Elephas maximus indicus: one gene and its partners. The protein of the gene in region 3 binds, or shares a complex with, the protein of the main gene of each other region. Links are inferred from orthologs where the notes say so. Each region holds a gene or a part of one and is shown on either strand. Other genes may lie near its edges.

The links. Proteins that work in one complex are often made in the same cells at the same time.
Region 1: SMARCA5 (region 3) and MYBBP1A share a complex: the UniProt entries of both Homo sapiens proteins name them as parts of the B-WICH complex. The link is inferred for Elephas maximus indicus from reciprocal best matches to the Homo sapiens genes SMARCA5 and MYBBP1A.
Region 2: SMARCA5 (region 3) and DEK share a complex: the UniProt entries of both Homo sapiens proteins name them as parts of the B-WICH complex. The link is inferred for Elephas maximus indicus from reciprocal best matches to the Homo sapiens genes SMARCA5 and DEK.
Region 4: SMARCA5 (region 3) and RSF1 share a complex: the UniProt entries of both Homo sapiens proteins name them as parts of the RSF-5 ISWI chromatin-remodeling complex. The link is inferred for Elephas maximus indicus from reciprocal best matches to the Homo sapiens genes SMARCA5 and RSF1.

The regions. Positions count from the first base shown.
Region 1 is NC_064837.1:16,665,991-16,673,543, reverse strand, and holds the start of MYBBP1A (myb-binding protein 1A), read right to left. Parts: upstream 3,002-7,553; 5' UTR 2,971-3,001; coding exon 2,764-2,970; intron 2,573-2,763; coding exon 2,477-2,572; intron 1,793-2,476; coding exon 1,709-1,792; intron 1,585-1,708; coding exon 1,510-1,584; intron 1,392-1,509; coding exon 1,284-1,391; intron 166-1,283; coding exon 1-165. Other genes in the region: GGT6 (glutathione hydrolase 6), read right to left, coding at 6,237-7,270. UniProt on the Homo sapiens protein: May activate or repress transcription via interactions with sequence specific DNA-binding proteins. Repression may be mediated at least in part by histone deacetylase activity (HDAC activity).
Region 2 is NC_064819.1:63,692,711-63,700,443, forward strand, and holds the start of DEK (protein DEK), read right to left. Parts: upstream 3,002-7,733; 5' UTR 2,920-3,001; intron 2,513-2,919; 5' UTR 2,501-2,512; coding exon 2,353-2,500; intron 1-2,352. UniProt on the Homo sapiens protein: Involved in chromatin organization.
Region 3 is NC_064831.1:41,246,770-41,253,768, reverse strand, and holds the start of SMARCA5 (SWI/SNF-related matrix-associated actin-dependent regulator of chromatin subfamily A member 5), read left to right. Parts: upstream 1-3,993; 5' UTR 3,994-4,440; coding exon 4,441-4,617; intron 4,618-6,999. UniProt on the Homo sapiens protein: ATPase that possesses intrinsic ATP-dependent nucleosome-remodeling activity.
Region 4 is NC_064825.1:44,265,697-44,273,028, reverse strand, and holds the start of RSF1 (remodeling and spacing factor 1), read right to left. Parts: upstream 3,002-7,332; 5' UTR 2,772-3,001; coding exon 2,585-2,771; intron 1-2,584. UniProt on the Homo sapiens protein: Regulatory subunit of the ATP-dependent RSF-1 and RSF-5 ISWI chromatin-remodeling complexes, which form ordered nucleosome arrays on chromatin and facilitate access to DNA during DNA-templated processes such as DNA replication, transcription, and repair.

The sequences.
Region 1 (7,553 bases), on a different chromosome or scaffold from region 3:
CTCATCTGAGAATAGATCTACTGATCCCAGCAGCTTCTCGAGCTTTGCAGGCACCTTCTGTTGGGCTAAGAGGAAGAGTTCCAGGTACTCAGGGGAGCTGAGCACCACACCCAAGTCAGACTTGAGCACCTTCGGCAGGATGTCCTTTAACGTGGCCTCTGGGACCTGGGGGCAGAGAGACAAGTTCTATGAGGGTGGCTCACTCATAGCTTCCTTCATCTCTTCTTCCATGGGGTAAGCCCTACAGATCCCGTTCTACCTGCCAGGCTCCCATGAAGGTCCCCAGCAGAGTGCCAGCCTGAAGTGGGACAGCCACAATCCACCTTGCTTGGTATTTGATAAGAAATTCAAATTCCCAAATCCCAGGAAGCTCGGGTTTTAACAAGCATCCCTAGATGCTAACTGACCTGGGGCTAACCCTTTCAGTAATTCCTCTTTGGTTTTCAGAGGACCAAAAAACAAAAAAATCAAGCCAGTTGCCATTAAGTCAATTCTGACTCATGTGCGTCAGAGTGGATCTGTGCCCCGTGGAGTTCTTAATGGCTGCAATCTTTCAGGAGATTGCCAGGCCTTTCTTCCAAGGTGCCTCTGGGTGAATGTGCATTTGAACTGTCAACCTTTCGGTTATAACTGAGCACTTAATTCTTTGTGCCACCTAGGACATCCTTCAGAGGATCAGCCTGCTTCTTATACAAAATTCCCTAAACTGAGGGCCAATGGGAGAGCAGGGATTAGAATCCAGATTTTTCTATCTCTGAGGCTAGGCTGTGCAGAAACCACGATGGCCTCTTGCCTCTTTACTCAGTCCAGAGAGGTGGCAAGGGGTTCTCTGTGCTAGCCTACCTCACTTTCCCAAGTCAGGGCAGTGTAGGTCCCTGAGGGGCCAGCCCTGCCCAAAAGAATGGGCACCATCCAGTACAGTGGCTGCTAGCCACAGGTGGCTGAGCACTTGAAGTGCAGCTACCCAGAACAGAGATACACTGTAAGTGTAAAACACAGTGGGTTTATGACAAAAGGAGTGCAAAATCCCTTTTTTTTCTCTCCACACTGATTGCACATTGGAATGATAATACTTTAAAATGCGTTAGGTTAAATAAAATACACCCCTAAAATTAATTCCACTTGTTTCTTTTTGCCTTTTAATGCAGTTATTACAAAATTTAAAATGACACCTGCAGCTTGCCTTCATATTCCTATCAGACGGTGCTGCTTGGCATGTTCTCATCCGCTAACTTGAGCCTTCTCGATGTTTCTATAGCAGGGAGTGCCACCCAAGGTCATACCTCAGAAAGGATGTCCACCAGGGCCTTCTGGGGCTGCTCCTGTAAGTGGTTGTGGTGCTGGGTCAGGACCTGCAGCAGCTTCACGGACTTCATCAGTGCCTCCTGGTCCTGGCATCCACACAGACAGGCAGAGGGTATGAGGAGGGCATGCTGCTGTTCCCCACCACTCCCAAGCCAGGCCACATGCCCCGGGTGAGAGAACCCCCTGGGACCCCAAAGCTCTTACCTTCACTAGCCGGCCGGACTGAAAGAGGGCTAGCACCCCAAACAGGTGTGCGAAGAGAGCAGGTCTCACCATTGCCTAGAAAAAGATTCCAGGCTCAGATAAGAAGAGCTCAGGTACTACAGCACCCCGCCCCTTTCACTATCCTCCACCTCCCCCCCCGCCCCCCGCTGCTGTCCATCCTGGGGTCACCCGCTCTCACCTTCTTCACTTTCTGTAGGTTATATTTTTCTTGTATCTGCTCCAGGATGCTGCATAAGGGAATGTCCTCGAAAGACTGTAGCAGCTGCCAAGAGGTGTGATAGAAGGGAGAGGATTCAGGGGGTGGCCCCACCACATCCCCACATCCCAGCAGACGTCAACCTGTTTCCCCTTCTCCTTGAGACTTCAGCTGAGAGGCCCGGGGTCCCTGATCCCACCCCAAGGATGCCTCTGAAGCTGCTCATGTTGCTCTGATAGAACACTGCTGGTGAAAAGGAGCTGAACCTTACCTCCCTTGGCCCCTAGACTGCTTAACTGAGATGCCAAGATACCCTATCCCCAGAGCCTGCTGAGTCTTCCCAGGCTGATCCCAGAGGTCTGGGTTTTCACTGCCCTTCCCGTTGTCCAAGCTCCTCGGAGGGTAGCTTAGAGTCGGCTGGGTGCCCCTTGGAGACACAGGGCTGTGACCCTGCAGAAGGGGGGGGGGGCACTGCAAAGCTCATTCCTCCCACCAAATATACCTAAGGGGCCTCACTCCACCCGTGCACCAAAAAAGAAAACATGCTGAGCCTCCCCCTCCACTTCCCTGGGCCTGGGCTTCTTTGCAGTCAGTCTTTGCTGAGGCGCCTTCTCTTCCTCCACGTGGTGAATCTTCCCTGGGACTGGGCTTCAGATGTCACTCTCCCAACCTCTCCCTCAGACACCCCTCTCCTGCCAATTGAGCACCTGCCTCCCTCACACCCACCGTCCACAGGGACCACCAACTCACCTGTGCCAGGGCCAGACTGTAGCAGGGCCGGGCGGTCTCTCGCCCGACCCCGAGCCCAGTGATCAGGCGCATCAGAGCGTATTTCATCTCGGACCCCTAGGGAACCAAGTGCAAGCCTCGTGGGCCAGTGGCACGAGTCAGCTAGCCCTCGCGGACTCCCGCACCTCGGCCGGCGCCCGCCTGGGCATCCCCGCTCGGGACCAAGTGCCTGCAGCCCCAAGGCCCGGATCCGCCGCCACATCTGGCTGCATCTGCATGGCCGCCTGCTCCAGGCCCCGCCAGCGTACCTTCGGCCGTGTGCGCAGATACTCCAGCAGCTTCTCTGTGGCCTCAAGCCGCGTCTCCTGCTCCGGCTTCGCAATGTCCCAGAAGAAGTCCAAGAACTCGCGGCTGTGCTGCAACAAGCCATGGCGGTCGGCAGGCGGGGCACCGCTCTTGGTCGCCTCTCCGGGAGACACGGGCTCAGCGACGTCCTGACTCTCCATCTCCGCCATGCTCCACGAACACGTGGGCTCTGAAGACTGCCTCTTCCAGGTCAGGGCGCCGGGCATGCGCACTGGACTGGGTCGGCGGGGGAGGAGCCAGGCGAGGACCTGGGCGGGGCCGGGGCCGGGGCGGGGCCGGGGCCAGGGGCGGGGCCGTAGCAGGGCCGGGGGAGGCCCGACCCCCCTCCGCTCTCTCAGCACAGCAGTGAGTGCAGCTTCTCCCCAACCTCCCGGTCATACTCCCTCTCCCCGGGCAGCTGAGACATCTGTCCCCCTAGCGCCCCACCGGGCTCTTTTCTGAGGGCCCATCTCGGAAAAGCAATCCAAGCGAAGCAAATCGATCCACCTCGTCCCAGAGTGGCCCCTGCGCCCCGAACATAAATGCATTCACCATACAATCACTGAGCTCCCACTGCGTGCTGGGCGCAGTCCTAAACCGTGGGCACAAAGTCACTGCTCTCATCGACTTCCTTTCTAGTGGGAGGAGACAACTGACGAGCAAGTAACCAAAGACATTTAAAAGCATAATTATTATGAAGACAATGAGAGAGGTAAGAGAGAGACTTGAAATTATTTCCCCCAGTTTTTAATTAGACTTTATTTTTTTAGATCAGTATTAGGTTTACAGAACAAGGGCTTCGAACAGAAAATATAAAAACCAACCATTGCCGTCGAGTCGATTACGATTTATAGTGACCCTATATTTTTTAGGACAGAGTAGAACTGCCCCATAGAGTTTCCAAGGGTGCCGAACTTTTGGTTAGCAGCTGTAGTTCTTACCCATTACAGCACCAGGGTTACAGACTTCTTATGTTTTCTTTTCTTCCCTGAACATTGTTTCCCATACTATTAACAATTTTTCACTCCTGTGATACACTTGTTACAATTGGTAAACCAATACTGATACATTGTTACTAGCTAAAGTCTGTATTAGGGTTCACTCAGTATCGTACAGTCTGATGGGTTTTGACAAATACATAATGTTGCATGTGCACCGTTACAGTGTCATACAGAATAGTTTCACTGCATTAAAATTGGCGTGTTCTCCATCTATCCCTCCCCCCTCCCTTCTCTCCCTTGCAACCACTGATCTTTTCACTGTGTCTGTAGTTTTGAGTTTTCCAGAAGGCCATACAGTTGGAGTCATACAGTATGTAGCTTTTTCAGACCAGCGTCTTTCACTTAGCCATATGCATCTAAGGTTCCCCCATGTCTTTTCATAGCCTGATAACTCATTTCTCTTTATTGCTGAATAATACATTCAAACGAAATTTGAAACAGAAATATGTCACCCATTGAAAACATTAAGTTAAAAATAGAACTCAATAGGTACCAAGATACTGATTGGAGAGGGTGGCCAGGGAGGCCTCCATGAAGAGATGGCACTTGGAGCCCCCAGTGGGAAGAGCTAGGAGGAAAAAGACCCTCGGGCAGAGGATACTACTGCTACGAAGACCCCAAGGCTAGATGGGGAGGTTGGCAAGATGGGTGGAAGAAGCAAGATCTGCCAGGACCTTAGGCAGGGATCACGAGTTTGGCTTTTATTCTGAGAGTGATGGGAAGTCACTGGAGGGTTTTATGGAGGGGGCAAGCCTTAATCAGATCCACGTTTTGAAAAGATTATCCTGGCTGCTGTACTGGGGATGGATTGTAGGAGGGCAAAGATAAAAGCAGGAAGACCAGTTAGAAATGATGGTAGATTGGGCCAGGGTGATATGAGAACAGGTCAGATCTGGGCTAATTGGGAGGCGGTAGGCACAGGTGAGAAGCCCTGGTGGTGCAGTGATTAAGTGCTCAGCTGCTAACCAGAAGGTGGCAGTTAGAACCCATCAGCCTTTACGTGGGAGAAAGACGTGGCAGTCTGCTTCTGTAAAGATTACAGCCTTGGAAACCCTATGGGGCAGTTTTACTCTGTCCTACAGCGTAGCTATGAGTCGGAATTGACCTGACAGCAATGGGTTTACTAATCAAAAAGTTGCTGGTTTGAGTCCACCCAGAGACGTCTCGGATGAAAGACCTTTTGATCTGTTTCTCAAAGATCAGCCATCGAAACCCTTATGGACTTTTAGAGACCATCTATAAGGGGTCAAACCGACAATGGCAGTGAGTTGATGTTAATAGTGGAGGAGCAATCAGGAAAAGGAGGGTGAGAATGTCTGCACAACTTGAAGAACGTGACCAATGTCACTGAATTGTACATGTAGAAACTGTTGAATCGGTGTATGCTCTGCTGTGTATATTCTCAACAACAGCAACAAAGAAAATCGATTATTAGAACATGAAGGAAAAAAAACCCTAAGGAGCACTGTTCTACCCTGACACACTTGGGGGGTTGTTTTTTCTTCTTTTTAAGGGGTGGGTGATGAATTGGGCATGTGGGGAGAGGAATTGCAGACTTGGAGCCAAAATAACCAGGTAGATTGTGGCACAATTTGCTGAGCTGGGGGAGAATTTTTTGGAAGTGAGTGGGTGGGGGTGGGATAAAGAGTTCAGTTAAATCAGAACTGACTTTTATAAGTGCGGGGGTGGGGGGAGTGTTCAACGGGCTACCCTGTTTCTTGGGGGAGAGGGCCCGAGAAGCTGGCTCCAGAGGGCTGTGGGCCGAAGAGACTCCAGCCCTCAGGGGGTAGGAGGATCAAGGCCAACTTCTGCAGTTAAGTGCATACACCCAGCTCCAGCCCCTTTTGTATCCAGGGCCCTGGGACATCCCCCCACTCATCCTCTCAACACCTTCTTTGCTCTGCTGCCTGTTTGTGAAAGTCAAATTAAGAGGTTTACCATGTACATGGGGTCCCTGGGTGGTACAAAGGCCTAATGCACTCAGCTGCTAACTGAAAGGTTGGTGTTTTGAGTACCCAGAGGTGCCTTGGAAGAAAGGCCTGGTGACCAATTTCTGCAAAATCAGCCATTGAAAACCCTATGGAGGCCAGTTCTATTCTGACACATGTGGGGTCACCGTGAGACAGAATCAGATGGCAACCTGTTTTCTATGCACATATGGCCTCAGGCTGAGCTGCTCTCTCCTTATTCACCTCAAGTTCTTTGCTGAAAAAGAAGCCAGAAACTCCATCCAGCAGGGATGCTTTGAAGATCGACTGAGCTAGCCCTGGACACCCAGGACTCAAGTCCAGGTAACTAACCAGGTCAGAGGTTAGGGGCCAGAGCCAGCAGTGAGCATGTATTAGATGCATGTTCCTTGTGTATTCCATTGCCCTGGGCCTGCCCGGCCCTGCCCCAGGCTCCAGACAGCCCCACCCCTGCCAGACCCTACCTGGTTAGAAGCCCTGAAAGGGGCAGCAGCCGTGGGGGACACTGGAGACATGGGCATGCTCTGCGTGGGCTGTCACCTGGAGCAGGGTCCCCTGAACACAAGCGCTGGGGCTCTCTCTTGGTTCTTGCTGGTGCTGGTGCTGAGCCTGGGTCTGGGGCACTGCCAGGTGTCTGAGCAGGGCGCTAGTCATGGCTCTGGTCACTGAGGGGGCCCCTGAAGCCACCAGCCCCAACACATCAGCCTCCGTGTCATCTGGGCTGCCTAGAAAGATGAGGGGGCAAGCCCAGGCACTTGTTGCAGACTTGGTGACCAGATTGCTGAGTAGAACCCCCGTGCTGGGGGACACGTATCCAGAGCCAAAGGAGCTGTTAAGTGAGGAGGTGAGAAGGAGCACAGAGCCACTGCTGTCGATGGTGGCCAGGACGCTGCTTACGGGGGTCTTGGCAGCTTGCAGGAGTGGTGGGCAGGGGTCAGTGCTGGGCGCCCCGGAGTGAAGAGCTGCCTCCAGCAGGGCCAGCAGTTCTGGGCCGGCTGATGGGCTGGGGGTGGTGAACAGGATGCCCTGGGGCACAGACAGTTGCAGGGCTGGCTCCAAGCTGGGCATGGGCTCAGCTGAGGGGGCCTCCAGCCCCAGGTCACTGGCCATCAGACTCAGGAGGGTGTCCCCGGTGAGGTCTGGGGTGGGGGCAAGTGCTGCCCTGTGTAGCACAGCTGCCAGCCTTGGGTTGGTGGCTCGGGACCCAGGACCCAGGGGGGTTCCATCAGCATGGCAAAGCAGTGGGCAGAGCCCCTTTGTGCCCTGGGCTGCCAGCGCCCTTGCCAGAGGTGGGTCTACCAGGAAGCCCTCCTGAGCCAGCAGGGTGGGGCCCCACAATAGGCGTGGCCAGGGCAGTCGGCCGAAGCGCGTGTGCAGCAAGCGCAGGGCAGGCAGAGTCGCAGGCAGCTCCAGCCCAGGGGCCAGCATCTGGGCTGGGCCCGAGGTCATGGCAGTTGAATTGCCTGAGGAGCTATTGTGGAAGAGACCCCAGAACATGGCACCTGAGGGGAGAAAAAGGAGTCACACAGAGGTCAGGGGCACTGGCCAGGATGGGGTCAGAGTCACTGACTGGAGTCAGGGTCACCCAGGAACCCTAGGTGAAGCATCACTAACTTGTTTGAGGTTGAGTTTACTGACTGAGCCTGGGATCAGGAGCAGCTGATCAGTCCTGGAAACAGGAGTCAATGACCAGATTTGGGGTCAAAATCACTGCCTGAATCCTAGATCCTACTCACAAACCAGCCCGAGGTCAGGGCCACTGACTGTGCCTGCGTTCCAGGTCAC
Region 2 (7,733 bases), on a different chromosome or scaffold from region 3:
TCCTAAAACAACAAAAAAAAAGGACACTGAAGCTGGCTTTGAAGGACATGTAAAGCTTGAAGATGTATTTGCACAGACAAGACATGGATTTCAGCAGATATATTCTGGTATATTCCAAAGAATGAAGAGAAAGCACTCTAAGGCAGACACTATTATCACTCCTCTTCCTTTCCCTGCGTAATCTGAACCATTCCTTGCCTTTTACTATCATCTAAGCTATACCCTGGTGGCGTAGTGGTTAAGTGCTACGGCTGCTAACCAAGAGGTCGGCAGTTCGAATCCACCAGGCGCTCCTTGGAAACTCTATGGGGCAGTTCTACTCTGTCCTATAGGGTTACTATGAGTTGGAATCGACTTGACGGCAGTGGTTTTTTAACAAGCTATAAGCTAATGACTTCCCAGATCAACTACTATGTATGCCAACGGGACAGCTCTACTTCATGAACTACAGGTGCCTAAATTCAAAACAGGAGTCATAATCATCTTCAAACTTGCTCACCTCCGTCAATTATTTTCTTCAGCAAATGGTAATACCATACACACAGCTGCCTGAGACAGAAACCGAGGCATCATCTTTGAAACTGTCACTCTCTCTTTTACCACAAACCCCAACCACAAAACCACTGCCTAATTTGGTCACTCTGACCTCTTGCTTGGCAAAGATGTCATTAATTTTACTGCTTTGCTTCCATGAAAACTAAGTAGTAGAGGTAAACTTTCAGGGCTAAAAAAAAATTTCAGGGCTAGGTGAATAAAAACATTCAAAATTTTGGTTTTTCCACAAATACCTCAAAGGAGTGAAACAGAATAATAACTAGAACTATATCATTTTTAAAATAAAATTACCATTCAAAAAAAAATTACAATTTATTCATCCAGAACAAAATGAGGGCTTCTTTGAACTACTGCCAGTCCCCCCAAGCATTACTGTGTCAGCCACATCAGCCATTAATAGTATTTTTACATGACATCTTTCTTTCTTTCTGACATAAAGAAAATATTCATCATCTACTGTGGTGTCCCAACCATGCCCTAAAAAATGACTAAAATATCAACAAAAAATTGGAGGAAAGTGCTGAGAAAGTCTTTGACCAGAAGTGATATTGCAGTTAATTTCCAGTCACTGTATTATGAATTTAAAAATAATTTCTATTTTTTTTTCTAAGCGTTTTTGTACCCAATTATGGACGCACTCCCTTCTTAAAGCACATACCACTTTAAACAAACAAAAGACGTACCTTGTAATCTCAACCTAGACTGCATTTATAAGATGCTGATCGTAGACAGCTTTACACTTTATATTTAGACTTAAAAGAAACTGACAGTTAAACTTGGATTTGGGAAGAAAACTTCCAAACTCTTCCCAAGTTTGGCTGAGGTGTAGGCATATACTAAGTAAGCCTAGACTGGGCTAATACAGAAAAATGCCAGAATATGTGAGTTGAATTTTTAAATAGTTAAAAACATCTTAGGAAGTTTAAACACCTCAAAGATGCCTCACGCCATGCATCTTGGATAAACAGGCACAGCACTCGACTCTGTCGTGTTCTTCTGCTTCATGCCTTCAGTCAAATAATCTTTAATATCGTCCTCCCTTAGACCTGGCTGCCCAGTTGTTAAGGCTCAGCTGCTAATCAGAAGGTTGCAGTTCGAATCCACCAGCTGCTCCTTGGAAACGCTGCGGGGCAGTTCTACTCTGGCCCATGGGGTTGATAGGAGTCAGATTCAACTTGACTTCACTCAGTTTTGATTTTAAGTCACATTCAGGTCCAAAAAATGATAGCTCTGAGTCCATACTTCCTTTTAAGGTACAAGTAGCAACAGCTCTCAGCAGTGTTTCCCCGTGAAAAGAAACCTCCCGAAGTTTAGCAAAAATAAAAATATTTTAAATATATGAAAATATTTACAAGACTAGTACAAATGACTTCTCTTAGTTTTAAGATGAAGATTCTCTTTAAAGAACCTGCAATAACTTCATAAGGCAAAATAAATGCATAATTACTAAAAAGTAAAAAAAAAATTAACTCAGTAACTTTAAAGGCTAACGTACACACCGATTTAAAAAAAAAAAAAAAAGAAAGAAAGACCTTACAAACTTCCTGTCAAAAGATGAAATGTTATGAACGTAGCTAGCTGGCAAGAAGTCAACTACACTCCCAGAGTCACTACAGCAATGCTAACGAGTGTAAACGGAACACTGGAATTCACAAAGCTAACTGTACATTTCGCACACATTCCTGCTGCAAATCATTACTTCAATGCCTTTAAGCGCAAAAAGAGCAAAAAAGCTGTTTTCTACAAGAAAAACTTGCAACTAAAATATCCATCGAAACAGACAAGACTTCCGCCCACCTTTTTCTTCCTCTTCTTCTTCCTCTTCCTCCTCGTCCTCATCCTCCTCTTCACTTTCCTCTCTCGTGCCGGGCATCTCGGGGTCCTTCTCGGACGCGGGCTGGGCGGGGGTTCCTTCTCCCTCTGCAGCGGGGGCCGAGGAGGACATGCTGTTGTTGACCTGCGGGCGGGGTGGAAGCTTGAGGTCCCGGCCCCGGAGGCGCCCTAGGGTCACACCCTCGCCAGCCCACGACGGCGCCAGGTGTGAAGGACTGCGACCAGGGGGCGGCGGCACACCGATCCTCAAAGTTGCCTTCTCCTGCAGCTGGGACAGCTGCGCTCGCTCCCCTGGGGCGGGTTCCCTCCTGCTCCGCCCGCTGTCAGGGATTCCTGAGGTGGGAACCCACGGGGCCGAGCCCGCCCTCTCCCGCCGCCCCGCGCGCCCGGCCCGCGCCTGCGGGCGGCTCCAATCCCCTCCCCCGCCCGGCCGCCTTCCAAAAGGCCGCGTTCGTCCCCGTCGCCCTCGGCGGGCGCAGGCGGGCGCCGCGGCTGCCTCTCGGCCTCCACTGCCCCCGACGAAGCTCTCACCGCAGGGCCCGGACGCCGCAGGCCTGGCGCGCGAGGCCACGAGGAGGCTCCGGGAAGCGGTGGCGACGGTGGACGCAGAAGAGAAGGCGCGCGGGACGCTCTCGCGCGTGACGCTCGCGCCGCGCTCTCGGCTCCCCAGAATCAACAAGATTTTCAAAATGGCGGTTCGGGAAGGAAAGCGGGAATGCGGCGGCCAATCAGCGGCGCGAGATGGGAGTTGGCGGGCGCGGGCCGGGAGGCGGGGCGGGCCGGCGCCTCCGCGGGAAGCCCGGGGCGGGGCTGCGTCGGGGTTCCCCGGGCGCGGGTGGAGGGGCTGCGCGCTCCGGGGCCGACGCTCCGGGTACCCCCGGCTGCGTGTGGCGGTCGGTCGGCGGCGCTCGGGACAGGAATGCGGGAAGAGCGTGACGGGCAGAGAGCCGGCGGCGCCTCACGGAAGAACGCTAGGGGGCCTTCGTGCTTATTGTGTCTACTAGTCTTTCCGGGAACAGTAACGGGCTGGGGTCCAGGTGGGGGGCAGGGGGGTGGCAAAGAAGGTCAGAAATCCGGTGAAGCTGGTATTTGCAGAATTTCACAGAGGTGGATGGGAATTCGTGAATGAGGGATCTCATTTATGTCCCAGAGATTGTGCTGGGTGATGACTCCCAATCTTTGTGTTTCTTAGGACCCCATAGTTGTAACGAAAAACCCTGTCACATTGAATGTTCACATCACTAGAGGCGTAAGTGGATTTCAGAGCTGTAAATGTAGGAGATGCGCCCGAGAGCGTTACTGTGAATGTGTGTGTGTGTTAAAATGGAGAAAATAACGGAATTTGTCCGGTCCGGGCCAGCTCGGCAAAAACCTACATAATGCAGCTTCTTGCAATCTCTTTGCTCTCATCTCGCAGACATAGTTGCCTCATTTTCAGCCACACAGGCCTTTGATGTTCCTTCATGAGGACACGCTCATTCCCACCTTTGGGCTTTCTACTTAACTTTTTTTTGTCTGGAATGCTCTTCCCGCCACACCTTCAAATGACTTGCATCTTCACATCATTGAAGTCTCTCTGCTGAAGTGCTTCTCGTCTCCTCATACTGTCACTTTATTTCTTTACCCTTCTTTTTCTTTCATTTATTCAAAAAATTTATTGAATACCTGGTCTGTGTCAGTCACTAGGAACCAGAGCAAGACCAAGTGTTGAAGCTTACTTTCTAGTTGGGAAGACAATGAACAAATAAACAAGTGAATATACCCTATATCAAATAGTGATAAAAATAAAGCAGGTTAGGGGGAATAAGAAATACCAGGAGAGTAAAGCAAAAAAAATAAATAAATAAAAGCATTTGCCATTAAATCAACTCGGACTCATAGCAGCCCATGTGTGTCAGAATAGAACTGCTTCATGGCGTTTTCAGTGGCTGTAATCTTTGGGAAGTAGATCAAATTGTCCGACCTTTCTTCCAAGGTGCCTTTGGGTGGATTAGAACCACCGGCATTTTGGGTATAGTCAGTGTTTAACTGTTTGCACCACACTGGGACTCTGCCAGTACAGTGGACAGGGTTTTATACATTTGATGATTAAGGAAGGTCTTGCTGATAAGATGACATTCGAAAATAGATCTGAAGAAATTGAGAGCAGGGGAGATAGACTGGATATATTCGGAAAAATTCTTTAAAGTACTGGGTGTGGATATAAGAGACAGGAGTCAATGATAATATTGGATTTTTGGCTTCAACAGCTGGAAGGAAGAGTAGCTATTTACTAAGATAAGGAAGATTTCAGGTGGAGGAAGCAGGACTTTTCTTTTGGGGGGATCAGTTATTTTGTTTTAGACATGTTAAGTATGAGATTTCTGTTAGTATCTAAATGAAGGTATAGAGAAGGCAGTTCGTTATGAGAGTCTGGCATTTAGGGGAAGACATTTCTAGCTCAAGATATAAATTTAGTAGTCGTCAACATGTAGATGGTATTTAAAGCCCTGAGACCAGATGAGATCGCTAACAAAGGGGATATAGGTAGAGATGAGGAGAGGGTCAAGATTGCACCCTGGAGCTCTCCAGTGTTAAGATGTTCAGGAGAGGAAGAGGAATGAGCACAAGAAATGAGAAGGAGCAGGTGTAGCCAGTCAAAGTGGGAGGCCAATCAAGCAAATGTTGTATCCCTGAAGACAGGTGAGGATAGTGCCTAAGGAGGGAGTGATCAGTTGATCAGATGCTGCTTTTGAAAAGATCAGGTGAGGTGAGAACTGAGAAGTGACCATTGGATATAGCAATGTTGAGTTATTGGTGACATTGACAGGAAGTGTTTCTGTGTAATAATGAGTAGAAAGTGCCTAGAGTGGGGATACAGAGAGACAGGTAGGCAACGAGTGTAAGCAGATGCACTTTCCAGGAATTTTGCTGTTCAGGGGAGTAGGGAAATGGAGCAGTGGCTCAAAGGTAGTTTGGTTTTCGAGATGGGAGATGTTACTGTGTATTTATAGGTTGATGGGAAAGAAGGGAAAAGTGATGACGCAAGGCACCAAACCAAAACCCATTGCTGTCAAGTTGATTCCAACTCATAGCGACCCTATAGGACAGAGTAGAACTGTCCCATAGGGCTTCCAAGCAGCACCTTGTGCATTCAAACTGCCAACCTTTTGGTTAGCATTTAACCACTATGCAACCAGGGTTTCTGATGCAAGGGAGGAAGGGGATAATAACTGGAGCCAACCTTATGCTGGTGTTGCAGGCTAGGTTCTCTAAGTAGATGCTGAAGCAGAATTTGAGGAACCAGATTTTTTAGGTATCGATATGAGTGAAAGGAAGCAGGAGGAAGTATGATTGGGCAAAGAAAGGGGTCAAATTGCAAAGCAGGTCTGACAAAACCTGAGCCAACCCTGCTGGGAGCTCTGGAGTGAGTACTGCCCTTCAGAAGGTCATGAATTGGACCTGCCTGGCCAAGTTTTACTGTTCCCACCTTGCTCAGTCACTAAATGCAGCCTGCCCCAGGAAGGGCATGCCTTCTGGTGAAAGTGACTCTATAGCTCTGGCAGACCCTGAAGGAGCTGACAGCTGGAGGCTGTCTACTGCAGCTGGGCCACAGGTCCTACCTTGAAGGGAGATCTGGGTGGCACATTTTCATGTCACCACAGTAGATGAGAGGAGACAATCTAGTGCACAGGCAGGGGAGTTGCCTTTAGATAGGACCATGCACAAGCTTCTATACAGAAACAGGAAGGAAGACAGGATATGGGGACAGACGCAGGGGAGGGGGGTTGGTAGATGTCGTGGGAGTTTTACAAGTTCTGATTCCTTTCGGTTTCTCAGTGAAATCATGAGCAAGATCACTGGCAGTGAGTGTGTTGGAGAGGACTGTTGGAGGCTTCAGGACAGAGGAAGTGTGAACTAGTCATGAAGGAGAATGGGAGATGAATGGATTAGGAAATGTAGTAGGATGGCCAGGCAGCTACAAGGACACATTGGGATTAGTGGCCATGAAGTCAAAATGAGACCAGTCACCATTATTCTTCTCCAGCCATGCTTAGCTACCTGGGAGTAGGTGAGAGAAGGCAGAGAATTGGATTTAACCAGGCTGAGATTTTGCCAGGCAAGTTTGAAGAAAGAAGAGAAGGATGAGTTGAGGACGATTAATATAAAAAAGGACTATAGGAGCTGAGCTCAGTAAGGACATGAGAGAGGTGAGACTTAGTGAAGGAGGGAGGATCACTAACTAAGACCTTTCTCTTTGTTACATTTATCACTACCTGAAAAAAAATTTTTTTTTAATCATCTTTCTTCCCTACTACAATGTAAGCTCCATAAGGCTGTATGTTCCTCATGGTATCCTCAGCACCAAAAGCAATGCTACCACATCACTGGGTCAATTAGTGCTACATGAATAAGTGCAAGCTTAAATTAACACTTACTATAAAGATCCAGGACATTTTTTGGTTAAAGTGATGAGAAGGTGTGTTTGTCCAGAGCCTATAGGCTATTTCAGTGGCTTAATTCAGCAAAAATTTGTTTCCCTAGCTACAGTGCCCTCTAGTGGTTTAGTCAGCTCTCCAGGGCATGTGGTTTACTTACTGCTCTAGGTGACTTCAGATCCATTATCTCAACACAAATCTTTCATAGAGGACCAGAGCAGAGAAGTCTTGTCTTCTATGATTCTGCTCACTGGGCTGTGGCCAGATCAGTCATATGGCCACACCTAACTGGAGACTCTAGGCAGTATGGGGGCACGTATAGAATACTGGAAAGGTCCTTAAGTGGTGCAAATGGTTTGCACTCAACTACTAACCAAAAAATTGGTGATCACTTTATATGAGACCAAACAGTCAACAATAACTTTAAAACAAAGATGAGAATATAAGGGGGTAAGGGGTTATAGATTATTGGTAAACATTGCTGTCTCTGCCACAGAACCAAAAAACCAAACCTGTTTTGCCTTTGAGAATTTTTACATACACTGTACACACATCTTTTTTACCCACATATCTAGCTCTTACATACATATCTTTCCCAGATTGTAAGCTTCATGGGCAGAGACCGTGTCCATATTATTTATTACTCTCTCCCAGGTCTTGGCATGGTGCCTGACATATGATAAATACTTGAAAAATATTTGTTTAGTTGAAATGTACTTCCTTTTGGTTCTTAGACAGTGGCATGAGTCTGTTGTCTGGATGCTATTTAAAGAGCTTCCAGCAAAACCAGCTCAGTAAATTAACATGGTTTCGAGCTGATGACCAGATTCTTTTTTAAACCTGATCATAAATATAAATATAGCACCACATTTGGTTCTTCTAAAAACAAGATATCATACTCTATTTTGGTAGAAAGAGTTAGCCAAA
Region 3 (6,999 bases):
AAGGAGCAGCTGGTGGATTCAAACTGCCGACCTTCTGTTTAGCAGCCATAGCTAGTCACCACTGCACCACCAGGGCTCCTCCAATTGATTGCATGTGATTTATGGATAGGCTTCAATTCAGTAGGTTCAAGGTTCAGACTGATGACTCAAAGTGATGGGGATATAATTATCAACTTAATATAAACAAATGCAGTTTCAATTATTTATTTTCCAATTACCGAGGTACTACCAAACTTGACTGATGACTTCTTGACCACGGCTTATATTTTTATTATACAAATATGATCAAAAGTAACATTCTTGGACTACTGAATGAAGAAGAAGGTCGAAATTCACTTCTGGAAAGGCCACGAGACTTGTGTGTTAAGCCAGAACTTTTAAACATAATTTCATCATTTCTGTGTTTTATATATGTATGCATGTTGTTTACATGGATGCACTGTTTAAGAAAAAATATGGTATTCTCTAGAATTTTCTCCAACAAGATTTTTATGCAGCTTCCATATGCTCATATTAGAAACTCACAGAATAAATGCAATGTTAAAAGACAATTGCCATTTTGGGGGGCAATATTATTTATCATGCTCCCTGCTATTTGTTGCTTTCCTTAAATAGTGAGCTGACTTAAGATCCTTCTACTTATATACTTAAGAATAATTTTAGAGATTTTTTTCCTAAGACTGTAGACTGAATAACTATTCTGAATATAAAATAAATATTATTTCTACTAAATACTATTTCTACTTTAGAATGTAAATATTAAATAAGTATTTACTCAATAAATATTTATTAAATGTCTTTATATTAAGTATCACTCTAGACACTACCTCCTTACCTTTTCTCGCCATCTTTTTGGGGAGAAAGAACATTGTTTAAAAGTGAGTTTTCTCAATACAATAATGATGATGTTTATTTTTTAAAAAAACTGGAAAATACTAACGAGCATATATTCTTAGATATTTCTTTATAGACTCAGAAATGGTATTTCTGATGAGTTGGGGACATTTTTCCAGACCTCAATTAAAGTATTATCATTTCATTAGTTCAAAAGTTTGCAGGATACATGTTCAAAGGATATCCCTTCTGTTTGAAATTCAACATAATCAACCATTTGGATCAATCTTAACACTTTTTTAAATTTTATTTATTTATTTTGTTGTTGTTGAGAATACACACAGCAAAACTTACACCAATTCAACAGTTTCTATGTGTACAATTCAGTGACGTTGACTACATTCTTTGGGTTGTGCAACCATTCTTACCTCCTTTTCTGAGTTATTCCTCCCCCATTAACTTAAATGCATTGCCCTTTGATGTTCCTATAGATAGAATCCTTCGAGTTGCTATTGTCAGTTTGGTCCCATATAGATAGCTCTTAAAAGGGCATAATGGTCAATAAGAGATTTTTTTTTTTATCATTTAAGCTAAACTTTTTTTTTTTTTTTTTGGTTTTAAGAAGATTTCAGGGGATATTTTTGGTTTAAGATTTAAAGATTATCTCAAGGCAATAGTTTCAGGAATTCACCCAGCCTCCATGGCTCCAGAGTCTGGAGTCTATGAAAATTTGAAATTCTGTTCTGCATTTCCCCCCTTTTGATCAGGATTCTTCTTTTTGATCTTTGATCATAATGTTCAGTAATGGTAGCTGGGCACCATCCAGTTCTCTTGGTCTCATGGCAAAGGAGGCAGTTTTTCATGAGGCAATTAGCCACACATTCCACTTCTTCCTCCTATGCCTGACTCTCCTTTTTGCTTTGTTGCTCCAGGCAAATAGAACATAAAAACCTGAAACCAAACCCATTGCCATGGAGTGAATTCTGGCTCATAGCGACCCTACAGGACAGAGTAGAACTGCCTCATAGGATTTCCAAGCAGTGGCTAGTGGATTCGAACTGCTGACCTTTTGGTTAGCAATAGTAGCTGTTAACCACTGAGCTCAAAATTGAACACAGATGTAAATCAAAACTACAGTGAGATACCATTTCACTCCAACTAGAATGGCTAAGATAAACAAAACGCAACACAAAATAACAAATGTTGGCCAGGATGTGGGGAAATTGGAACCCTTATACATTACTGAGAGGAATTCAAAATGGAGCAGCTGTTGTGGGAAACAGTGTGGTGTTTTCTTCAAAAAACTAAAAACAGAACTACCATATGACCAGCAATTCCACTCCTAGGTATATATTCAAAAGACTTGTAAGTAGAGACTGAGACTTGTACACCAATGTTCATTGCACCACTAGTCACAATAGCCAAAAGGTGGAAACAACCTAAACGCCCATCAACAAATGAATGGATAACCAACGTGGTACATATATACAATGGAATGGCACTCAACCAGTAGAGGAAACGAAGTCTTGATACTTGCTACTATATGACTGGAGCTTGAAAACATTACACTGAGTGAAATAAGTCAATCACCAAAGAACAAATATTGTATGACCTCACTTAACATAAAAAGGCAAGAAAACGTAAATGTATAGAGATCAAAGTTTACTAGTTGTTACCAGGGACTGGAAGGAAGGAGAAAAGGGGGAGGGCAGTTTACCACGATGAAAAAATGGCGTAGATTAACAGTAGAGTTACACAACGGGTTACTGTAAGTGCTGTCAGTAAGTTGTACATGTGTAAAAAGTTGAAATGGAAAAAGTTGTGCGATAGACATATAAAAATAACACACACACACAAAGAGTACCTGTTAAGGCTGCATAGGTACAACCAAATGCCTCAAGGGTTTTGGTTTGCAAGTTTAGAGTGATGGTATCATGAACATTTCAGTTAACTAGCCTATTAGCATGTTCAGTGCTTCTGCTCTACTTCCTAGTTCTTTGGGCGGTTCCTGGGGTCTTAAAAGCTTGCGAGCAGCCATCAGCCTTAACTCTTGAATAAATGTTTACAGAATAAGGTACATGGGAATACAAAAATGAATAAAACTCTGTGTAGGGAAGATAAGAACTTACTGCAAAATGCAGACTAGTTATCAAATAGTATACAACGTGCTTCAATTCTGTAATAGATGAACGCACAGAGCTTAGGTTGTTGTAGAGAGCCTAAGGCAGTCTACAAAAAAATAAAAAGTTGATTTTTTGTTAACACACATTTTTAAGGAGAAAGCACATTCTAACTTTATGCTTGGTAGTCGAGGGAAAGATTCAACCCGTACCTCTCTTTTCCTGTCTATTGATTAATCATGTTTCACTCACACCGTAGCGTGCGCGCCAATTTGCTTTTAGCATAGAAATTAGTAATAACTCTACATTGAAGGGAAGTAAAACGTATTTTTAAATTATTGATGTACCCACCAAAACCAAAAACCAAACCCAGTGCCGTCGAATAGATTCCGACTCATAGCGACCCTATAGGACAGAGTAGAACTGCCCCATAGAGTTCTCTAGGAGCGCCTGGCGGATTTGAACTGCCGACCTTTAGGTTAGCTGCCGTACCACTTAACCACTACACCACCAGGGTTTCCACTGATGTACCCAGTAAGTGAAAATTAACTATAAAAATCACAGTAAGGGACATTTTGCTGGAGAGAACAAAATAAGGAAGACTTCACTATGGATAACGACGGCGTTACGTCAACGCTGTGGCGTCACGCCTATAGATACAGGCGGCACAAGTATTAAGACCCAGCATAGGCCGCCACGTTTCAGTTCCCCGTGCTAAATCTGAGCAAGTTTTCAGGAAATGCAGCTGACCTCTGCCAGGCCAATAAGATAAGAGAGTCAAGGCCGGGGAGCCGTTATGAACGCGCATAGGGCTGCACTCGCGTCAGGCCAAAGAGCCAAGGGAAGCCTACGTAAGTGTCAGACGTCTCCAGGCAGCGCTCGTCTCCCTCGAGGCCCCACCCACTCCTCTCTCCAGAGCCCCCCACCCACTCGCTCTCCAGAGGCCGCTGGGGGCCCGGGTGATGCGGGAGGCGAGTGAGGGGAGAAGGAAGCGCATGCGCTCTCGGGTTCCAGGCAGCCAACCCGCTATCTCGCGAGAGTTGGAAGTCGGTGGCGTAGGTAGTTGTCCGAGTTGCTGGCGACATAGATGATATCTGACGGTGGAAGAAGAGGAGGAGGCGAAGCTAGGTCCTCACCTCAGTCTCTCTTTCGCTTTCCTTTCCCTCCCCCTAACCCTCCACCCTCCTCTAAATCGGCCTGCTTCCCCTGACCTCGGTGACCCGGCTGGCCCCGCCCACTCTCGTCGACGTGATTCCCGCCGTGAGGTAAGCAGCGGGTCGAACCCGGAGCTGCGCGGAGGAGGAGACCTACGACCAGGAGGAGGAGGCTGCTGGGTCCCGCTCAGGCCGTCACGGAGCCGCGGTGCCGGGGAGAACTCAGGGAGTCCTCTCGCCGGTCCATCAGCTCCTTCCCCAGGTCTAGGCCTCTTCCTCCATCCCTGCGGGACCCAGCCCCTGGCAGCAGCGGCTGACGCAGCCGGAACATCATGTCGTCCGCAGCCGAGCCTCCGCCACCCCCGCCTCCCGAGAGCGCGCCTTCCAAACCCGCAGCCTTTGCTACCAGCGGCGGGAGTAACAGCAGCAACAAAGGCGGACCGGAGGGCGTCGTGTCCCAGGCGGCCTCCTCTGCAGCCTGCGCCGGCCCCGCCAACGCCGAGATGGAGGTGAGGGACCTGAGCGCGGCGTGTGGCGCGGGGAGAGGAGAAGCTGGTTCCCTCCCCCTGACTTGAGGGCTCAGACGCGGAGCCCTGCTTCACCCCTCAGCACCAAACTCGGGCTCGGGCTCGGGCTCGTTGGATCCAAACGATGCTCTCGTCTATGCGCCTTCGTGCTTATCCTGTCTAGACTCAAATGGATTCCGAACAGTTTGCATGTAAATTATCTGCTTCTTTAGCAAATCTTGCCAAATATTCGGTGGCTCTTACTAAACAGATGTTCTTGATTACTGTGGCCGGGTGGGAGCTCCCCGTTTCTTTTCACTGGACTCCCATAATTCCCTCTCCAATTTGTGCGAATCTCGGTTTTAGTTTTCTCTGAGCTTGGGGGAGGGGTGAGGGATGTGCCGTTTGGGAGTGAGGGACAGACTGTCGCGGAGAGGGAGGCCGCGCATCCGAGGACTCGGGCCGCCTTTTCTTCCTCCGGGTCCTTGTGGGGCGGTATCTGTTCTGGGCACAAACAATGGCGAGAGCTGGATGGCCGAATGCGCAGTGGGGATAAGCGGGCGCAGCTGCTCTGGTGAAGGGACGAGAGGCCCCTCCCAGACACTGTTCCACTGGGAGGGTAGCGGCCAAGGCCACGGCAGATGTCCCAGACCCCCATTTAATTTGGGGGGAATGGATGGATGGATGAATGAATTAGTGAATATGGGGTGGTTGGTTGGCCTTCAGTCCAGCCCAACTCGTCTTTTGTGGCCTTGGCCTTTCTTTTCTTGTAATTGATAACCGCTATCTATATTCTAATAGATACTGTCGGCTCTGGTCAGCCAGGGGGATGGCGACTGTACTGCGGGGGTGGAAAGATAAGGAGCTGCCAGGCCCGGTCTCTTGGGTATGCACCAAGGCTTCGCAATGTCTGGGAAGAAAATGATTGCTCCTTCGAATTTCAGTCTTGGTCTCCGACCTGTTTTGAGATATTTTAGTGTCGCAGTACGAGGATTTCAGGATTTTCCCCTCTTTAGATAGACGGGATGAAGGTAATACTGCTCTAGAAAGGTACCCTGATGCAGAATTAATACAATCAGGAAATAGCGCAGTTTACCAGTAAGGCATTTGCCGCAGTAGTTTTATTTGGGCATCAGAGGTCTAATTTAGGGTAAAGAAATTAACTTCATGTTATTAGTCTTTGAAAGAACTTTTAGTGGTGAGGGTAGGTTTAAGTGGAATAGGAAATCTGATATTCTGGCTTTTCCAGTGATTGAAATTTGTTTCAAGCTTAGATGTATCCAGTGTTGCGCCCTTTTTTTATTTTTTTTCCTTAAGGTTTTTTAAATGGTTCTTTTGGATTCCTGCTTAATGGCTTCAGGGGGTGTGAAAACCAGTGAAATTGAAAGCATAAGGTTGTATGTGAATGCACAATTCTGCAAAGAGATGTTTGTAGTTTTGATTAACATCTTAAAAGGGGCTGCCATTCAGCCTTTGGAATAACAACATGTAGATGTCTCCCCAGAGGTCTTATTTAAATACCAAAAAGCAGAGTAAAGCCTGAACTAAATACTTTGGTTTTCAGTTGCTATTTTTGAGTTAAATTTTAAAAATGAATGTCAACGTGATGAAGTCAGTGGTAGTTTTCATTTGCCAGATGAGGAAATCAAGTCTTTCGCTAAGTAGAACCTTTAATAGAACCCGGGTCTGGCTCCCAAACTGACCCCTTTCCCACATAGCTTGCTGTGTCATATTTTTATAAAGAAAGATATTTTGCATTTTCATTTACTGTAGATGACCTAGTGAGTTATTTTACCTTCTCAGTATTGGGATATCAGTGATTTTATCTTTTATCCATCCACCTTTTCACTGACTAGTTTTTATTTTTTTCTTCACATTACAGTGACATATTCTTTTAAAGTAAATGTACCCTTAGTCTTTTTTTTTTTTTTTAAATTTTAAATCCAAATTCAGAAGGCATGGAAGTTCACTGATAAAAACTGAGTTTGAACACACAGGTATTATATATGCGACAATCTTAACCTGTTTCACAGTTGAAAAAAGATATTTTAAAATGCGTTTTTCTTTGAATGTAGGATGTAAGGTAGATTTCTTCCAAAATCAGGACATAATGTTATACCGGTTCCTAAGGGTCTTAGCAATGGAGTTACATTTGAATTTAGGTCATTTGACCTTTTAATCTTGTACTTATAACACCTACACCAGCTTCTCCCACTCACCTTTTTTTTTTTTTTTAACATCTAGCTTCATTATAGCGTGTAGTACCAAGCACAGATTTGTACATCATTAATGAGAATTATGCTTTTACCAACTGTTCCTATGTAATTTTTTTTAATGGATGAATGGAACTTTGCAGTGTAGAAGTTGCTACTGATTTTTGTTGTT
Region 4 (7,332 bases), on a different chromosome or scaffold from region 3:
CTAGTATACCACAACTCCATCCCAAGATGACTCAGTGCTGGACTTGTTAGCTGGACCAGAGTTATTTCATCAATTACAAGTAGGCTGACCATCATTAAAATTTTTTTCCCGCACAGTATTTCATCCGCAGAGAATTTTCATTTGCCAAGCATCTTAAACATGTAACATTAATAATTATTCGTAGATCACCTTATGACCAAATCCCAAAACCAAACCCACTGCCCCAAAACCAAACCCACTGCCCATAGAGTCCATTTCAGCTCGTAGCGACCCCACGGGGTTTCCAGGGCTGTAAATCTCTACAGAAGCAGAATGCCGCACACCTTTCTCCCCCAGAGCCACTGGTGGTTTCGAACCATGAACCTGTTGGTTAGCAGGTGACTGCTTTAACCACTGCGCCAGCAGGGCTTCTCACCTTATGACAGGAACATCATCAGTCCCCTTTGCAAATATATGAACAGTAATGGAGTAGCTGAGCTACGTGATTCATCTAAGCCCAGGGTAATTTCCGTTTCTTACTTAACTGGTGATCCACCATTCAACTCTAAATAGAAAGATAACACGAACTATTAAACTGACCGTAATTCTTTTTTTTTTTCTGGTAGTATCAAACAGTGACCAAAATACTGAAAGGAACGCAGTGGCAAGCAATATTGAATATCACCCAAAAGACAATGACATTCAGAAAGCCTATGCCTGACTTTGAACTTGGTTCAAATAAATTCCAAAAACAATTTACCAGCAATCCTTTTCTCCAAATTCCCACATTTCTCTCTCTGGTATACATTACTATCATTCTCCAAGGTATCCTAAAAGCAACTTACTAAGGCGTTCCACTTCACAATGAATACTTCCTTAAAAATAAATGGTGACTACAGGTCATTAATGAAATGACTACACTAGAAAGCTTTTTAAAAAAATTCTGCAGGAGGTCTTTATAAAATGTAATTAACCACCGTCTTATTTGATACTGTTTTAAAAACAAGCCTTTCATATTCCAGGATTTGTTAAAGGTGCAGGGGATTTAGGAAGGTAAGAGATATGGGCCTGTCTTTTAACGTATTGAGACTCTGGTAGTCCTAACTTCATATTCTCTATAGGTAACAGTTTGAAAAATTTCACACTTGGGCCCTTCCTAGCAATGTAAATATATTCTGTTAATGGAAACGTCTCCATTTCCATGGAAAAGAGAAGAGCAACCATGTTTTACTGGAAAGTAAACAGCTGTCTCGAACGACATGCAGTCCACTTTGGCCACCTAATACCAACAAACAGAAAAAAAAAAAAGACCTATATGGAAAACGTTTCTTCCCCAGCCAAAGAGGCCCTTCCCAGATAAAGGCAATACTCAGAGTACAACAACAACAAAAAAATCCCTCCTTTGCGAGAAGAAATATGCCAGAAAAGGAGAGGCATGGATCGGGAATAAGTAGATGGTGTCTGTGCTCAGTGTGAAGGCTGGAGGCAGCAGGCACAGCGCTGAGATGCTCCAGCAAAAGAACCAGCAGCAGCAGCAGCAGCAGCAGGAAGTTTCAATGGGGCCGGGCAGAGCATGCGCCCTGCACCCGCGCGGTGGCCTTATGTGGAATGAGCACCACTTGCGAACACCAATAATAGACCAGCAGCACCAGAGAGAGAAACATGAGCAACAAGCACCTTCTTCAACAGTTTCCCCCTACGTCTAAGCCCCTCCTCCAGCCTACATACAAACCACCCCACCCCACCCTGCAAAAGGGAGGGCGACTTCTTCTTCCCGAAGCCCTGCTGCCAAGATGACGGGGGAAGGGAGTGAGTGGGGAAAGTGAAGAGATGCTTTTCCATTATTTGGGGGGAGGTGGGGAGGGAGAGAAGGAAAGCTAGAAAGCTATGCGGGAGGAGGAATTAACCCTTTATCCTCCTAGGTGGAGAAGCCGAACTGACTTCACCCCCCAACGCGAGAATGGACGAGGACCCCATCCCATAAGGGAGGGGCCGACCTCACAACTCGGAGAAGGAGTTTTGGGGGTTAAACCAGCCCTCAAGGGGAAGGGAAGAAGGTAGAGAGCTGACTCTCTCGTGGGAGCTCCCACCAGTGGCAGGGAGAGTTGCTGTGCCCACTACCCCCGCCCACCCAGGTGGAGGAAAGAAGGGGACGCCCCAAGAAGATGGGCCCAGCCTCCCCCGAGATGGTGGTGAGGATAGTGGGAGGAGGGGAGAGAGCAAGGGAGGGAGGAGAAAAGCGCAAAGCTGGCCGGAACCTGCGCTCCCCTTCCCCCGCCACCGAGACGGAGAGGAGGTGGGGGACCAGCCCCGACGCGGTAGAGCGGCCCCACGGGCGACCGACGAGCACAATGACCCCTGCACACCCCCAGCCCACACCTAGCCGCGACACCCCCACCTCCGCTCCCCGCTCAACCGGGTGACCCTAGGGGTCCCCCGCCCCGCCTCCCCTCAGCCCAGGACCCCGGGGGCAGGGCGGAAAAGAAGGGTCGAGCGGGGAGCTTCCCCCAGAACCGGGCTGCGAAGGCCCAGGGCGTCCCTAAAGAGCCAAGAGAAGGAGCGCGCCAGGGCCGCTTCCCGCCGGGCGTTCGGGCCCCTCGCTTACCTTCTCCGTTGCCGATGTCCGGCGGCGGCGCCTGCAGAACCCGCTCCAGCTCCGGGAACGGCAATTCAGGCAGGTCGAGCAGCGGCCCATACCGCTCCAAGAAGGAGCAGACTACGGCGAAGTTGGGGCACGAACCTGGGCAGCCCGGAGAAGCCATCGCCGCCGCCGCTGCCGCCGCCGCCGCCATTTTGAACTGGAGGATGGAGGAGGAGGCGATGGGGGGGTGATGGGGGAGAGTTGGGGTGTCAGGGAATGGCAGGGTAGCCTTACAGACGACAGGAGGCGCTATCGAGTGGGCTCCCCTGCGGATTCGAGCGTCTCAGGGACGGCGCCGCGATCCCAGAATACAACGGCGTCCCGGAGCAGTCGAGAACCGAGCCAGACAGGGGAAAGAGAGGCACTCTTGTGCCTTTCACTTTCCGCCCCCTTCCCTCCCTCTACTTCACCCCTCCCACCGGTTTCGCCACTGCCTCGTGTGACAGGGGGAATGAAAACAAGGGAAGCCGGGCGGGGAGGCTGGCTGAAAGCTTACGAGGCGGGACTTTTCCGGAGCGATGGCCAATAGGCTTGAGGGGGGCGGGGCTTCTGGCACTGACTGGCCGAAAGACTTTTGGGGGGCGGGGCGTGTGCGAGGGGCGGGGAGCGCCTTGCTTAGAGAGCAAAACGCACGAAGGTGAGAGGTAAAGTACGGAACCGTTTGGGCAAGCTACTCCGAGGAGAGTTCGGTGAGTTTTGAGGGGATCCCGGGAACTGAAACTAGGCCACAAGATGGTGGGGGAAATTGAGGCGAGTGAATTAGAAAAAGGAGAGTAGGAAAAAAGACATGACTTTGGGAGAAGGTTCGGAAGGGGGAAGGTAGGGTCTCTGACGGGGGACCAGGGTCTGAGGAGAACGGGTTTGTACCGGGACCCCGTCGGTGTCACCAGGGTCTGAGGGGCGGGGTTTTTATGGGGAACCAGGATTTGAGGGTAAGGAGCTCTGCCTGGGTTACCAGGATCTGAAGCGTTGGTGCCTTGCTGAGAGATCAGGGTCTCAGGTGTCTGGGCTCTGCTAGGCGACCAGGGTGTTAGGGGAAGGGGCTTTGTTGAGAGACCAGCGTCTGAAGGTGTGTAAGCTTCCACTGACGAGTCAAATATGATAGATAACTTAGTGGAAAAGCAAAAGTTTGTTAGAGGACAGGGTTCCACTTTGTTGGGGGACAGAGAGGAACATTCTCCCACAAAGAATCCCAGAGGAAAACCACCAATCAACAATAATGCAAAATAGAATGTACAACTTGGGAAGCAACATGCATAATAATTAGAAACCTAAGATTTGAATTCAGCCAGAACTGAGAGTTGACAGGACCCCTTCATGACATTGTGCAAGATTCTTCATTTCTTAAAATTTCTGTGAAGTGGAGATGATGATCATATCTACATCACAGAATTTTACTAGATAATTCATACTAAATGATTAGTGTAATGCCTTGGTGTATTTTAAATACTTAAAAATGTTTGCTAGTACTGAAGGAAGAAGTTAATAGAATTTTGACTTAATTCAGCTATATTTATTTAGCCTATGGTTTACTTCTTTGAGGCAAAATCTTCAGAGTACATTTAAAACCTATATAGTACCTACCTCCTAAAAAGATTTTGAAGCAAAGTGCAATACAAACTATGTTTAGGCCAGGAGCTCTGATAGCACAGTGATTAAGTGCTCAGCTGCTAACTGAAAGATTGCAGTTGAAACCCACCAGCCATGGGGCAGAAGAAAGAGGTGGAAGCCTGCTTCCGTAAAGATTTACAGCCTTGGAAACCCATGAGGCAGTTCTACTCCGTCCTACAGGATCACTGTGAGTCAGAATCGACTCAACAGCAATGGTTTAGGACAATTTATGATTAAAGGAAGATAAAGAACTATACATTGTTGTTAGTTGCCATGGAGTTGGCCCCTGAATCCTGGTGTCCCCATGCACAGCGGAATAAAACACTGCACCATCTCCATGATTGATTGCAGGCCAGATTATCGTGATCTGTAGGATTTTCATTGGCTGAGCTTTGGAAGTAGATCACCAGGCCTTTCTTCCTAGTCTGTCTTAGTCTGGAAGCTCCCCTGAAACCTGTTCAGCATCATAGCAACACACATAAGCCTCCAAAGACAGACAGGTGGTAGCTGTGCATGAAGTGCATTAGCCAGGACTCAAACCTGGGTTTCCTACATGGAAGGAGAGAATTCTACCACTGCACCACCCCAGTGGTCTATATTGTCCTCATTATATAAAGAATACTCATTTATCATGAGAAAAAGAGGTGTTCCTGGAGGAATTTATTGCCTAGAATAGTGATTTTCGAATAATATACGAATGACTTTTTTTATTGTTTTAAAAATATAGTAAGCAACAGCTATCATTCTGTTTGCATTACCTAAAATTTCCTTTAAAGATTTGTTGTCAAATCTTTTTAAATATATATAAAATACATGTGCCAATTTAACATTTTTCATGTGTAGAATTTAGTGACATCGATTGTGTTAATCATATTATGCAACCATCACTAGTATCTGTTCCCAAATTTTCCATCACCTTGAACAGAAACACAATGCTTCCTAAGCGTTGACACCCCCTCTTTCCTTTCCTCCCAGCCCTGGTAACCACTAATAAACTTTGACCTCTATACATTTGCCTATTCTAGATATTTCATATGAGCGAGATCATACAATATTTGTTCTTTTGTTATTGATTTCAATCAGCATAATGTTTTCAAGGTTCATCTATGTTATAGCATGTATCAGGACTTCATTTCTCTTTAAGGCTGAGTAATATTCCTGAATCACTTTTAAAGAGGAAGACACACAAACAGTTCATCTGAAACTTGGCAAATACTTTTGAAAATTCCAGTTTAAGAAATACCGATGTAAGAAATTAAAGTCTTACTTTAGGAAGATGTCTGATGGTTATGAATTATTATTGCAAAAGAGAAGTTTTAAGTTTAATGAGTGGTGAAATTTTATAAGCTATCTTTGAAATGAAATGCAAAACTAAATTAAACCATTTTGGTAGAACTCTCAGACTGCCTAGTGTGTGTCACTAGACCCTGGGGATCTGAGGACCCTGGTTTAAGAAAAATCTGACCCAGAGCACATCTATAACAGTTTTGCAGAAAGATACCCAAAATAAAAAAGCAGAAAAAAACTTTCACATGGTCGTTACTTGTTCTTGTTAGCTACCGGCAAGTCAGCTACCAACTCATGGCAACCCCATGGACAATGGAACTAAACACCACGTCATCCCCACGATCAGTTGCAGATCAGACCAAAAACCAGTTGCCATCAAGTCGTCATTACTTAACTGCCCTTAAATAAAAGCCAGATGCCCAGTAGTAAAGAAAATAATATCTTTGTGAAGTAATTTCTATGGAGAGAACCTTGAAACCAAAAAGATTTAATTATGTCATTATTTTATTATTTTTTTTTTTTATGAAACCTTACCCACCCCTTCCTTTCTATCTCTTTGCTTTCAGGCTTTCTAGTACCACAGCTCTCACTCTCATAAGGTTGTAAAATAACGTTCTAAAGAAGAAAAAAAAGCTTTTACACTATATTGTTTTCCCAATGTTCACGCTGTTATTCAAAAGGGGACTGATAAATAAGGTTAGAGTTTCTGCCTTTGCTGATCCAGATTAGCATGGGGACAAAGTCCTTAAGCCTCAGAAATTTATATCCATCCAGAAGATAAGAGGTGCTTTACTACACTCGCTTTCACTAAGTCGTGCCTTCACTAAGTCTCTTCTTGGACACACACTCATGATTGGTACCACCTTGTCTATTCGCCTTTCTGGGATAAGAGGTTATAGGCTACAAGAGTCTAGTCCCAGTTTATGTAGTAAACTGAATTTCGTACATCCAACTGGAATGTAAATGCAAGAAAAGAGAAGCTTTTTCTAAAACCTGTAATTAATCTATTGCCACTGCAGTGAAGAGGCCTTCAAACAAGTGTTACATTATCTATACTCAGTCTCACTTTGTTTATTAATAAGAAATTTCTTAAGATCAAATTTCACATCCTTTTAGAAAAAAAAAAAGACAATCTGTTTAGTCAGAATCAATGACTAGTTTATTCAAATTTTCAAAAAATGGAAAACAACCCAAATGTTCAACAGAAAAATGGACAGTGATCTATTCCATCAATAGGTTATTGCTCATACTGATGCACACAGCCACGCTGGTGAGCTGCAAAACCATGAGTGAAAGAAGGCAGACACAATTGAATAGGTACTCTATGGTTCCATCGTTGTTAAATATTTTTAAAATTTTAAATGTTTTAAATATCACCGTAGCCTAAAGCAATATTTTTTAAACTGACCCGTTAGTGGGTTTTATGGAGTTCCTGGGTGTTGCAAACAGTTAACGTGCTCAGCTGCTGACCAGAAGGTTGGCAGTTCGTGTCCATCCAGAGGTGTCTCAGAAGAAAGGCCTGGTGATCTACTTCTGAAAAATCAGCCATGGAAAACTCCGTGGAGCACATAAAACCAACAACCAAACCCAGTGCCGTCGGACCAATTCCGACTCATAGCGACCCTATAGGACAGAGAAGAACTGCCCCATAGAGTTTCCAAGGAGCGCCTGGCGGATTCGAACTGCCGACCCTTTGGTTAGCAGCTGCTGCACTTAACCACTATCCCACCAGGGTTTCCATGGAGTACGTGGGGTCATCATAATTAGGAATCAACTCAGTGGCAACTGGTTAGGTTAGTGGGTTTTAAAATCAA